Diceros bicornis minor: one gene and its partners. Each later gene encodes a partner of the first gene's protein in a complex. Links are inferred from orthologs where the notes say so. Each region holds a gene or a part of one and is shown in the gene's direction. Other genes may lie near its edges.

Region 1 (3,748 bases):
CAAGGACAAGAAGCCACAGAAAAAAAAATGCATGGAGCGTAAATGTCACTCGATCATTTAACTGGGAGCGGCATTACGTATAAATAAACACACAGGTATACTATGGGACGACAAAATCCAAAATCCACTTGAATTCGCAACATAGATCAGGAAGTCCAGACACTTCCGCGGTGGCCCGCCCGTCCCGGCCACTCTCGCGGGCTGGGAGAACCTGGGAAAGTCGGTCACTCCCCTCGGTTACCCGGGGTACTTGGGCGGGAACCGGGAGCGCCAGAGACCTGGGCTCCGGAGCGAGCGCTGCGTGGCTTCCTACCCGCGGGACCCCGAGCCCGCGCCCAGCCTCTGCGCCGCCCCGGGGCGTTGGTGTGAACTGTGAACTCGCGGCCAGGCCTGCCCGTCGCCCCAGGGACCGCAGGCGGCGCCCTCGCGCGCAGGAGCGGGTGGGGCTTTTTCAGGCTGTTCACACTGGGGCGAGGTGGACTAACACGGTGTGTGCCGGATGCCCTGGGACGGCTGCCTGAGGGATTCCCGGGCCCCGACAGCCGGAGGCCCTGCCCAGCCAGCCCCTTGTCCTGCACAGGTAGGAAGTGGGGAGCCCAGTTTCGAACTCCGACGGCCGAAGCACAGCCAAGTACGCCGCGGGACCGAACAAATGTTTGAGAAGAGAACGCCGACAGCCCGAGCAGGCGGAACAGACTCGTGATCACCGTCTCGCGACGTCTAAGTGACGTCACACAGCAAGCGCGTGTTCTACCCTTTCACCTTCAGCCTCCTCAGTATATGGACCTACCCCTTTAAGCTAGTGATAGACAGTTATTTCAGCCTATCAACGTCCTCATCGATATCCAATCAGATTTAAACTTCTGTCAGCCGCCGGAGGAGTTGGAAGAAGGGGGTCGAAAGAGGGAGCGCTCTCTCTCTCGCGAGATCATTGTAAGCCGGCCTTTCAGAAAAAAACGCCAGAACAGATGGCCGGACTTCCCAAATAGTCAGTTAAAAGACGGGGTCACAAACCAATGAAAGGGATGAGGAAGTGGGATCACTGCTTTCACCGCGCAAGAAGTACCGTTACAGGGCAGACTTTTTGTCCAATCAACGCCTCCAGACTTTGGGTCAAGTGACCATAGAGTGCAAGGGGCGGAGCTACAGCCTGGCGCGAGGAACCGTTAAGATGGACAACGAGTAGGACCAATGAGGTACTCTGACTAGGGCGTTGGGAACCCAATAACAGTGGACGGGCGGGCGCCTTCCCCGAGCGCGGGGAGATGTGAAGACAGACAAACAGTTTTCCCAATGAGACTGTAGAGGAGAAGTGCTAATTGACCAATGAGGACGACGGGGCGGGAGCCTTTGCCGCGGCGGAGTCCAAGATGGCGGCGTGCGGTTCCGCTGTGTGAAACGAGCGCGGGGCGGCGGGTTCATCTGCTCCGCGGAGACGACCTCCGACGGCCCGCAACAATGAAGGGGAAGGAGCGCTCCCCAGTCAAGCCCAAACGCTCGCGTGGTGGCGAGGACTCGACTTCCCGCGGGGAGCGGAGCAAGAAGTTAGGGGGCTCTGGTGGCAGCAATGGGAGCAGCAGCGGAAAGACCGACAGCGGCGGTGGGTCGCGGCGCAGCCTTCATCTGGACAAGTCCAGCAGCCGAGGGGGCAGCCGCGAGTATGACACTGGTGGGGGCAGCTCCAGTAGCCGCTTGCACAGTTACAGCTCCCCAAGCACCAAAAATTCCTCGGGCGGGGGCGAGTCGCGCAGCAGCTCCCGGGGTGGAGGCGGGGAGTCACGTTCCTCTGGGGCCGCCTCCTCAGCTCCCGGCGGCGGGGACGGCGGGGAATACAAGACGCTGAAGATAAGCGAGTTGGGGTCCCAGCTGAGTGACGAAGCAGTGGAGGACGGACTGTTTCACGAGTTCAAACGCTTCGGTGATGTAAGTGTCAAAATCAGTCATCTCTCGGGTTCTAGCAGCGGGGATGAGCGAGTAGCCTTTGTGAACTTCCGGCGGCCAGAGGACGCGCGGGCGGCCAAGCATGCCAGAGGCCGCCTGGTGCTCTATGACCGGCCCCTGAAGATAGAAGCGGTGTATGTGAGCCGGCGCCGCAGCCGCTCCCCTTTAGACAAAGATGCTTATCCTCCGTCAGCCAGCGTGGTCGGGGCCTCTGTAGGTGGTCACCGGCACCCCCCTGGAGGAGGTGGTGGAGGCCAGAGATCACTTTCACCTGGTGGCGCAGCCTTGGGATACAGAGACTACCGGTTGCAGCAGTTGGCTCTTGGCCGCCTGCCCCCTCCACCTCCGCCACCATTGCCCCGAGAGCTAGAGCGGGAGCGAGACTACCCGTTCTATGAGAGAGTGCGTCCTGCATACAGTCTTGAGCCGAGGGTGGGAGCTGGAGCAGGTGCTGCTCCTTTCAGAGAAGTGGATGAGATCTCACCCGAGGATGATCAGCGAGCTAACCGGACGCTTTTCTTGGGCAACCTAGACATCACTGTGACAGAGAGTGATCTAAGAAGGGCTTTTGACCGCTTTGGAGTCATCACAGAAGTAGACATCAAAAGGCCTTCTCGGGGCCAGACCAGTACCTATGGCTTTCTCAAATTTGAGAACCTAGACATGTCTCATCGGGCCAAACTAGCAATGTCTGGCAAAATTATAATTCGGAATCCTATCAAAATTGGTTATGGTAAAGCTACACCCACCACCCGCCTCTGGGTGGGTGGCCTGGGACCTTGGGTGCCTCTTGCTGCCCTGGCACGAGAGTTTGACCGATTTGGCACCATCCGCACCATAGACTACCGCAAAGGTGATAGTTGGGCATATATCCAATATGAAAGCCTGGATGCAGCTCATGCTGCCTGGACCCATATGCGGGGCTTCCCACTCGGTGGCCCAGATCGCCGCCTTAGAGTAGACTTTGCAGACACAGAACATCGTTACCAGCAGCAGTATCTGCAGCCTCTGCCGTTAACTCATTATGAACTGGTAACAGATGCTTTTGGACATCGGGCACCTGACCCTTTGAGGGGTGCTCGGGATAGGACACCACCCTTACTATACAGAGATCGTGATAGAGACCTTTATCCTGATTCTGATTGGGTGCCACCCCCACCCCCAGTCCGTGAACGCAGCACTCGGACTGCAGCCACTGCTGTGCCTGCTTATGAGCCACTGGACAGCCTGGATCGCAGGCGGGATGGCTGGTCCTTGGACCGGGACAGAGGTGAGCGAGATCTACCCAGCAGCAGAGACCAGCCTAGGAAGCGAAGGCTGCCTGAGGAGAGTGGGGGGCGGCATCTGGATAGGTCCCCTGAGAGCGACCGTCCACGAAAACGTCACTGTGCTCCTTCTCCTGACCGCAGTCCAGAATTGAGCAGTAGCCGGGATCGCTACAACAGTGACAATGATCGATCTTCCCGTCTTCTCTTGGAAAGGGCCTCTCCAATCAGAGACAGACGAGGTAGTTTGGAGAAAAGCCAAGGTGACAAGCGAGACCGTAAAAACTCAGCATCAGCTGAACGGGATAGGAAGCACCGGACGACTGCTCCCACTGAAGGAAAAAGCCCTCTGAAAAAAGAAGACCGGTCTGATGGGAGTGCAGCAAGCACCAGCACTGCTTCATCGAAGCTGAAGTCTCCTTCCCAGAAACAGGATGGCGGGACAGCCCCTGCAGCAGCAGCCTCTCCCAAACTCTGTTTGGCCTGGCAGGGCATGCTTCTATTGAAGAACAGCAACTTTCCTTCCAACATGCATTTGTTAC
Region 2 (3,748 bases), on another chromosome or scaffold:
ATGTCATTGGCCTGGAATTCTCTCCTATAGCTTCAGTGAAGCTATAGCTGTCACTTCAAGCCTGAACCTTGATGCCACCTTCTTTCCAATGCCTTCCGTGGTCATCTTGGCTTGGAGTCCTCCTCCTCTTTGCAGTGACATTTATTTGTTAAAGCCTATGCTCACGCTGCCTTATGCTGTAAAGATGGTTTGATATTAATAAGCTGGGTCTTAGTTTCTTTACCAGAAGAGAAATGCTCTGAAAACCAGAGCCATGCCTTTTCAAGCTATTCTTTCTGACACAGTGTTTGGCATCATGTAGCCATTTGATAAATCAATGGTTCCCAAATACTTCCATTCAGAGAACCCCATTTAAAAAAATAAAAAACGAAAAACTTTTGTATTTAAAAGTTTATTACACATACAGAGAAGTGCACATACCAAAATGTTTGGCTCAATTAATTTTCATAAACAACATACTCATGCATCCAGCTCCCAGAGTAAGAAACGCAATGGAACCACAACCTCAGAAACCCCTCTAGTGCCTCCTTATGAGGACTTTATTTTAATGTATTACATATCATACTTGTAGATTTGGTGTAAGTAAGAAGAGTGAGAATATGTAGTTGTAGACCCCTTATAATATCTCTGCTCCATCATTCCTCGTTCTCTCTCAAAGAAGCACAGATACAAACGCACACACCCATAGACTGGAAACCAATGTAATAGCTATATCTTTGTAAATGAATGCATGGAAACATAAACCTACAACATCTTCAGTGGAAAAAGTATATTAGTATCAAACTGTCAAAAGGAATGAGTGATCCTTCGTTTCAAAAATCTGTACGACACGTGCTGCTCTACGTGTACGTTCACAACCCAGCTCAACTCACAGGACTCCCCTCTTGTATTTATAACATGGCCGCATGCGCGTCTACAAGCAACATGGCCGCTCTGCCAGGCACCAACATGGCAACCACAGCCTCACCGCACCCGGAAGCACGCGAGAGTTCCAATAAAAAATACATCCGCCATTCTGCCAACACCTAAGGCGGCTCTCTTTTGAGCTTCAAAGAGAGTGCGAAGCCGGAAATGACCTTTCCATCTAGCGCATCTCCCGGGATTTCTTTCCGGTTAGCCTTGGGTGTCCGCGTGAGAATTGGGTATTTCCTGGAGCTGGGACTGGGAGGTGCTAGTTCGCCGCGCTTGATTCGAGACGTGTCTGGGTCTGGAGACTAGGATGTCGGACACGTGGAGCTCTATCCAGGCCCACAAAAAGCAGCTGGATTCGCTGCGAGAGAGGCTGCAGCGGAGGCGGAAGCAGGACTCGGGGCACTTGGGTGAGGCGCGGGGCTGTCGGGGCCGATGCTTACCCGGGGAGGGCGGGAGGGAACCCTGGAGAAAAAGACAGCTCCTGAGTCGGTGCCGTTCCCCAAGCGGCCTTTTCTGTAACACCCCGTGCGTTGGTGCTCTTCTCCTCCCCCTCAGCAGCACAGACGCCGCGCCCTCCGGCAAGTAGTCGCGGTTCCTTCCCACCTCGGGACGTGGTACGCCCAGTTCTCTTTCCCGGGACGGGCGCCCCGGCCCCACCCCCGTCCTCCTTACTGACTCCTAAGTCTACCAGATCGTCGCCTTTACTAAGACCTCTCAGCTACCTACCCCTCGAAGCAGCAGGTCCCCTTTTTGTTGCTCCCATGGCGCTTTGTTCTTCCCTCGGTTATAGCTACTACTTTGTACTGGTCATTTCTTTGCGACTATGGACACCGTGAGAGCAAGGACTGAACCTTTATATCCACAGCGCCCAGGTCAGTGGCCCTCGGTGTTGCTAAATGAGTAGAGGAACTGGCATTGTCTTTAGGTATTTACATACCGAGCAGGAATCTGAAAATATTTGTTTTTTGCTTTTAAACTTTTTCTCCCCTCCCGTTGCCCGCTATGTCACAGTCAAAACTTGAAGGAACCTCAAAAGATTGTCAACTCCTGCCCACCCCCTGTCGCCAGTACAAGCCCTGAATTATTTAAGGCAAATCAACTATAAAGATCTGCAAGGATAGTGAATCCAAACCACCCTTGTGGTAGCTTGTTCCAATGTTTAGTAGTATACTCGAGTCCATCTCTAAATCTTGTGTTAATACATATGAGGCCCGTGTGCTCATATTGTGGCCCCTGGAACTAGAAGATGCCCTGGCAGGACTCTGACACCATAATAAATAAACATCTATTGAGTATCTACAGTGTGCATGAGTTCCAGTTAGACAAAAATAAGTAAGATATTGTCCCTGCCCTCGAGGAGTTTGAAATTTAGTTGAGGATAAAGGATTAATACTTAAAAAAAGTTAGAAATACAATATGATATATGTAAAATGCCAAATGAATGAGTCCACAATGAGTTCAGTGAAGGGAGAGGTAGCAAGAGTTGGTTTAGTCAGTGAAGGCATCGGGGAGGAGTTGGCACTTGGAATTTGGTCTTCAGGGCTGTATAGGACTTAGATAATTACAGAGAAGTTAAGAGGGCAGGGTGAGTAGAGGAAGAAGTGCAAGTCGTATGATCAGGGATTAATTAGCAGTCAAGCATTGGAGTAGTTACTGAATTACCCAAGAGGGAGAATTTTTTTCTTGATAATATAAACTTCAGTTCCTTTGATGTCTTGTTGTAGATTCAATTTTCTGGTTTTTTCTTATTCTTTGGTTTCCTCTGTTTCTAAGACTTTTATTTTATGCAAATCAGTTTTAGACAGAAAATATAACACAGTTACGTCTCTGTCATAGACAAATGACCCAGTTGCTTCTTGATTTATCACAGACTTCTGTTACTGGGCTTAAGTACCTCATCAACTTTTTCAAATACAGCATTCTGGAAGAAATGATTGAGTCATTTCTCCCTATATATGTGTGTTCCTGAAAAATTGCTTCTGCAAAAGCCTGCATTAAAAATAGCAGGGCTTATAGAAGAAATAGCTTTAGAAGAAGCCTGTTCAAAACCTCTGTAACTTTGTTACTAGAGCCCTTACAATATTCTACTAAAAATGCTAGCATAGTTAAATCTCCACTGGTGTTTCTACCTATAATGAAAGTCATTCCATCCCCACAGCCTATATACCCTGGGGCTCCTACTTCCTGCTTCCATCCAGCAGTCTTGTTTTTGTTTAACCAAGGGAAATGCCTTTGCAGTTTATTCATCTGAACTTGTAGCTTCCCAGATAGGTTAACATAGTGCAAAGTGTAGCACTTCTTGAAGCCACTAAACCAGACACTTCTATTTTTTAAAAGGCATTTCTGTAGGATTCTCACCTTTTTTCCTTAAGGTATTCATGTGTTTTTGAAGTTTTTTCTTTAACTGTGAGAAAATTTGCCCCTGACCACTTCAGAACATTAACATGATGAGAAAAAATCATGTATGAACCAGCAAGTTTTCCATGTTATTCTGACATTCCCTTATTTATTAATTGCATATGAGCTGATTTGCATTGAATAAATACATTGTAGGAAATCAGATTTTACTTGGATAATATTTGAGAGAAGTCAGAGACATCTGTTCTGTGGACTGTGTTGTAGAGGTCCTCCAGGTGGTCATCAGGTAAACAACAGTGGGATGTGGGCTATCCGGATGAGTTGCTCAATCAGCAGAAAAGAAGAGGGGCTAATGGTTCCATTCATTTATAACTAGAAACTCACCAATTTACTACATTTGGACACTGTAGGTTATTCAGTTTTCAATGTACGTTATTTTAGTAGGAGGTAATGTAGCCTTGTTCTGTCACCTCCCCAT
Region 3 (3,748 bases), on another chromosome or scaffold:
GTGAATTGTCTCTTCATGTCCTTGCCCATTTTTCTCTTCGGATTTGGGTCTTTTTCTTTTCAGTTTTTACGAGTTCCTGTGATGTAAGCTGCAAATATTTTCTTCATACTGATCTGATTTCCTGGGAATACACCATGATCCCTCTGACCATCTGGAGCATACTTTAATCTTATCCTCATAAATCATCTCATTCCGGGACACCTCCTTTGGGGATAAACAGTTTGGGTAAAGCCGGATAAAGGCAGGCCAATCAAAAGAATTACCTGACCCGTGTAGCAAGTGCAAAGAGGCTGTTATACGTTTACCAGGTAACTCCATCGTTCTTATGCAATGGTCTGGATGACACAAAGTCTTGTGTAGGGCAGTATATTCAAATTACAAAACTTATTTTAATGGGTTCATTAAAACCTCCCAGGGTTCGCCTTCGCCTCGCTTCCGAGTTAGCAAGGTGCCCCTAGCACAACCTCCATCTGCCAGACAATAGCTCCTCGGTTTCGCCTCGAGATGTCAAGGCAGGGACGAACCAAGCGGCCAGGAGGCTGCACTTCACGACGGAAGAGGGAGCATTGGTTTCTAAGAGATGAAAATTTAAACAGGGAAGCTGACCGAAGCCTAAACCGACCCAGTCCCCGCCCACGGCCCCGCTCCCGGGGTTGCACCTGGCCCACCGGCGCGCGGAGGCATCACAGACGGACGCTGCACCGCAGAGGCCAATCACACGCCACCTTCGCCCAGATTCCTCCGCCAGAGGCCGCGCCGCAGCCGCAGGTGGCCCGGCGAGCGCTTCCCCTCCGCGCCGCCAATCGCGACCCCCGCCGCCCTTCCCGTGATGCCCCGCAGCTGACCTCCGACCTCGCGGCCCAGCCTTCCCGGCGGCCCGCTTCCCTCCCCGCCCTGCCGAGCTTGCGGCGCCCCGGAGGCCGCGGGGCGTGCCACCAAGACGTAGCTCCTCCCTGGGCGCCTCGAGGCGCCGGCCGGGCGCGGTCCTTTCGCCTTCCTCCCCGCGGCGGGGCCCTGCGGTGGCCGGGTAGTGCGGCCGCTTCTGGGAGGCGACTCGTCGGTGAGTGGGCCGGAGCGAACATGGCGGGGCGGAGACGCGGACGGCGGGCGGGTGGGGCGGGGCGTGGCGGCGGGAGGAGCGGGAAGGGGGTGGGGCGGCGGGGCCTCGCTTCCTCCCTGAGCGCCATTTTGTGGCAGCGAGACCCGCAAATAAAGGGGATTGTCGGGGCTGCGGCGGGAGGAGGCGCGCGGGGGCCGGCGGAGCGCGGTCGGGCGGCCTGGGCGGCAGGGGCAGCGCGGCCTCGGCCTATGTGACTGAGGGGCGCCGGCGCGGCCTCCGTCCGGAGAGGTAGGTGTGGAGCGGCCGCGAGGACCTCCGGGTCCCAAGGGCTGAGGTGCGGCCGCCCCGGCTCGGGAAGGGGTGGACAGAGCGCCGAGGGCGGCTCGGGGCTCCCGGGCCCCCGGCCCCCTGGCCCCCTGTTAGCCGCGCCGCCTGCCCTCTTGCGGGGACGCTTCCGCCGCCCCGAGCCCGTCTTACCTCCGTTCTGCGTCGCCGGGGGCGAGGTGAGCGCTCCCGCGGGCCGGCGAGCCCGGGAGGCCGCCCCCTCGGTGGCGTCCTGTCCCCGCGTCGGTGTCGCCCCCTCCCACCCCCGCGGCCGGATCCGGGGACTGGCGGTGCTGACGAGTTGAGCCAGGGAAGGGAAGCGGCGCTAGTTGCCCAGATTTCACGTCGCGCAGTTGGGTATGACTGCAGCTGCGTTCTCCCGGAGACTTCCATTTTTAAATGGTTGTATGCGTTCTGCGTAAAAAAAGAATTTCTTTTTCAATTACTTCGAGATATTCGTGAGATTTTAAAGTCTCATCTTGCATCCCTGTAAGTCTGTTACTAGTTGATTTTTTTAAAACCATGTTTCATGAGTCAGTAGGGAACACACAGTGGAAAAGTCCAAGTTCTTGTTTTGATGAAGTCAGTTGGATATTTGATCCCAAAGGACTATGTTAAAATCTTAAAAAACAGTGCTTATAAAGTAAAAAAACGATTCTTTTGCCCGAGGTAGAGAAGTATTTTCATGAGCGTGTTACGGTCGTGAGTTGTCCGTCTGACGGTTTTTCATTTCTTAGAATTTAGCTAATTCCATTGCTGAGGAAGGTAAATGGAAGTCACAGGTCTTATCACCACAAGTTCTACCCGTTTTATGATTTTTAAACTTTGACAATTAAGTTTTCTGTAATAGATAAATATATTGTAGACGTTTAAAACCCCGTCAGAAAAAACCATGTGTGAAAATCTTTTCAAGATGGCTAAATTTTATTTATTTACTCGTTATTCAGTAGCATGTGCTTAGGCAAATTGGGGAAAGAAATTGCAGTCCACGAGGTGGCTTGTGATAAGGAGGATGAGGTTAAATTTTAAGGGTTTGGCTGAGTGTATTTCTAGACGTTTTTTTTTAGGTCTTACATTGTCTTAGCAGATAGCTATAGCTAAGTGATCGGTATTTTCACTTCTCATTGGTGGAACTTAGGCAAACTACCCAAATTTCTAAGTCCCAACGGACGAAAGTAATAATAAAAGTGTGTGCCAGGCACTAATTTATAGAACTTCATAATACCTAGATTTCCTGATTAAATTTTGAGTCAAGCTTGCTCAAAATATTTTTGTGTATTATTTGTTAGAAATGACTTGGTATATATGATGTAGAAAATCTGTAGCAGCCCTGTCATGTAGAGATGAGAGTTGTGATAATTATATTTGTACAGTACATTACAGCTTTCAAAGTCCCTTACAGTCTTGTATGTTTGTAGTATAGAATCCCCTTGAAAATATTCTTTACTTAGCTGTTTTGATCATTTTCATGGAACTGTATATTATCTGGCTCTTGAAAAAAATTTTTTTCTTGCTCTTAAAAATTTTCTATTGGCAGGACCTGTAGCCAAACAAGACCTAGGTAGTATTTCATTTTATTCTTGTTTTTATTTTGCAAATTATCTCCAACTTTTTCTGCCTCTAAATATTTTCTATTACTAAGCTTATCAGCGAAAAGCTTTTCAGTAACAGTATATGCTATTGTGTATTAAGATGCATCGGACTAGAACTCCGTGCCATAAATAAATATTCTTCCTTGAAAATGTTGGGTGGAATTTAATCTTTCCTAAATGCACGTTAAAATTATCTTTTATGTTGATGTTAGTATTTTATTTGAAAAGTCCTTTGTTTGTATAGCATTTTTATGGCACTTAAAGCATTGAGATTTACTGCACTGTGTGAGGCAGGCAAAATTGGTATCCTCTTTTGGCTGACTGGGAGACTGCAGCCCAGAGTTAAATGACTTAAGACCGCGTGACTGATGTACAAGAGTCAGGAAAGGTAGTCTTCCAATTCCCAACTGGTACCGTTTCTACCATAGTGTCAGATTATTAGCTTTTTGTGTTCAGTTATGATTGGTTTCGGCGAGGTACGTGCTTTCTTACTGAAGTTGTGTTCGCTGGTGCTTGCCCCTCTTAGGATCATAATGCTAAGAGCCAGGGGCGTATTGGGATCTGGGGTGCTAGGCACCCAGCCAACCAAAACTGAATTCTCCATCATAAACTGTTTCTCATTGTTAAGGCATCAAGAGTAGATGATGGTTCTGATGTTCTAAACTTGAGAGCTATATTATCTCTGAATTATCCACATGAATAACTGAAACCTTTACATAAGTTGAAAACCATGTGTTAACCAATCTTAAACCAGGTAGCCAAATTGGCCAAT

The links. Proteins that work in one complex are often made in the same cells at the same time.
Region 2: RBM15 (region 1) and METTL3 share a complex: the UniProt entries of both Homo sapiens proteins name them as parts of the WMM complex. The link is inferred for Diceros bicornis minor from reciprocal best matches to the Homo sapiens genes RBM15 and METTL3.
Region 3: RBM15 (region 1) and WTAP share a complex: the UniProt entries of both Homo sapiens proteins name them as parts of the WMM complex. The link is inferred for Diceros bicornis minor from reciprocal best matches to the Homo sapiens genes RBM15 and WTAP.

The regions. Positions count from the first base shown.
Region 1 is NC_080743.1:43,366,440-43,370,187, forward strand, and holds the start of RBM15 (RNA-binding protein 15), read left to right. Parts: upstream 1-745; 5' UTR 746-1,326; coding exon 1,327-3,748. UniProt on the Homo sapiens protein: RNA-binding protein that acts as a key regulator of N6-methyladenosine (m6A) methylation of RNAs, thereby regulating different processes, such as hematopoietic cell homeostasis, alternative splicing of mRNAs and X chromosome inactivation mediated by Xist RNA.
Region 2 is NC_080744.1:27,857,932-27,861,679, forward strand, and holds the start of METTL3 (N6-adenosine-methyltransferase catalytic subunit), read left to right. Parts: upstream 1-1,087; 5' UTR 1,088-1,219; coding exon 1,220-1,319; intron 1,320-3,748. UniProt on the Homo sapiens protein: The METTL3-METTL14 heterodimer forms a N6-methyltransferase complex that methylates adenosine residues at the N(6) position of some RNAs and regulates various processes such as the circadian clock, differentiation of embryonic and hematopoietic stem cells, cortical neurogenesis, response to DNA damage, differentiation of T-cells and primary miRNA processing.
Region 3 is NC_080778.1:10,090,413-10,094,160, reverse strand, and holds the start of WTAP (pre-mRNA-splicing regulator WTAP), read left to right. Parts: upstream 1-916; 5' UTR 917-1,060; intron 1,061-1,236; exon of another isoform or gene 1,237-1,348; intron 1,349-3,748. UniProt on the Homo sapiens protein: Associated component of the WMM complex, a complex that mediates N6-methyladenosine (m6A) methylation of RNAs, a modification that plays a role in the efficiency of mRNA splicing and RNA processing.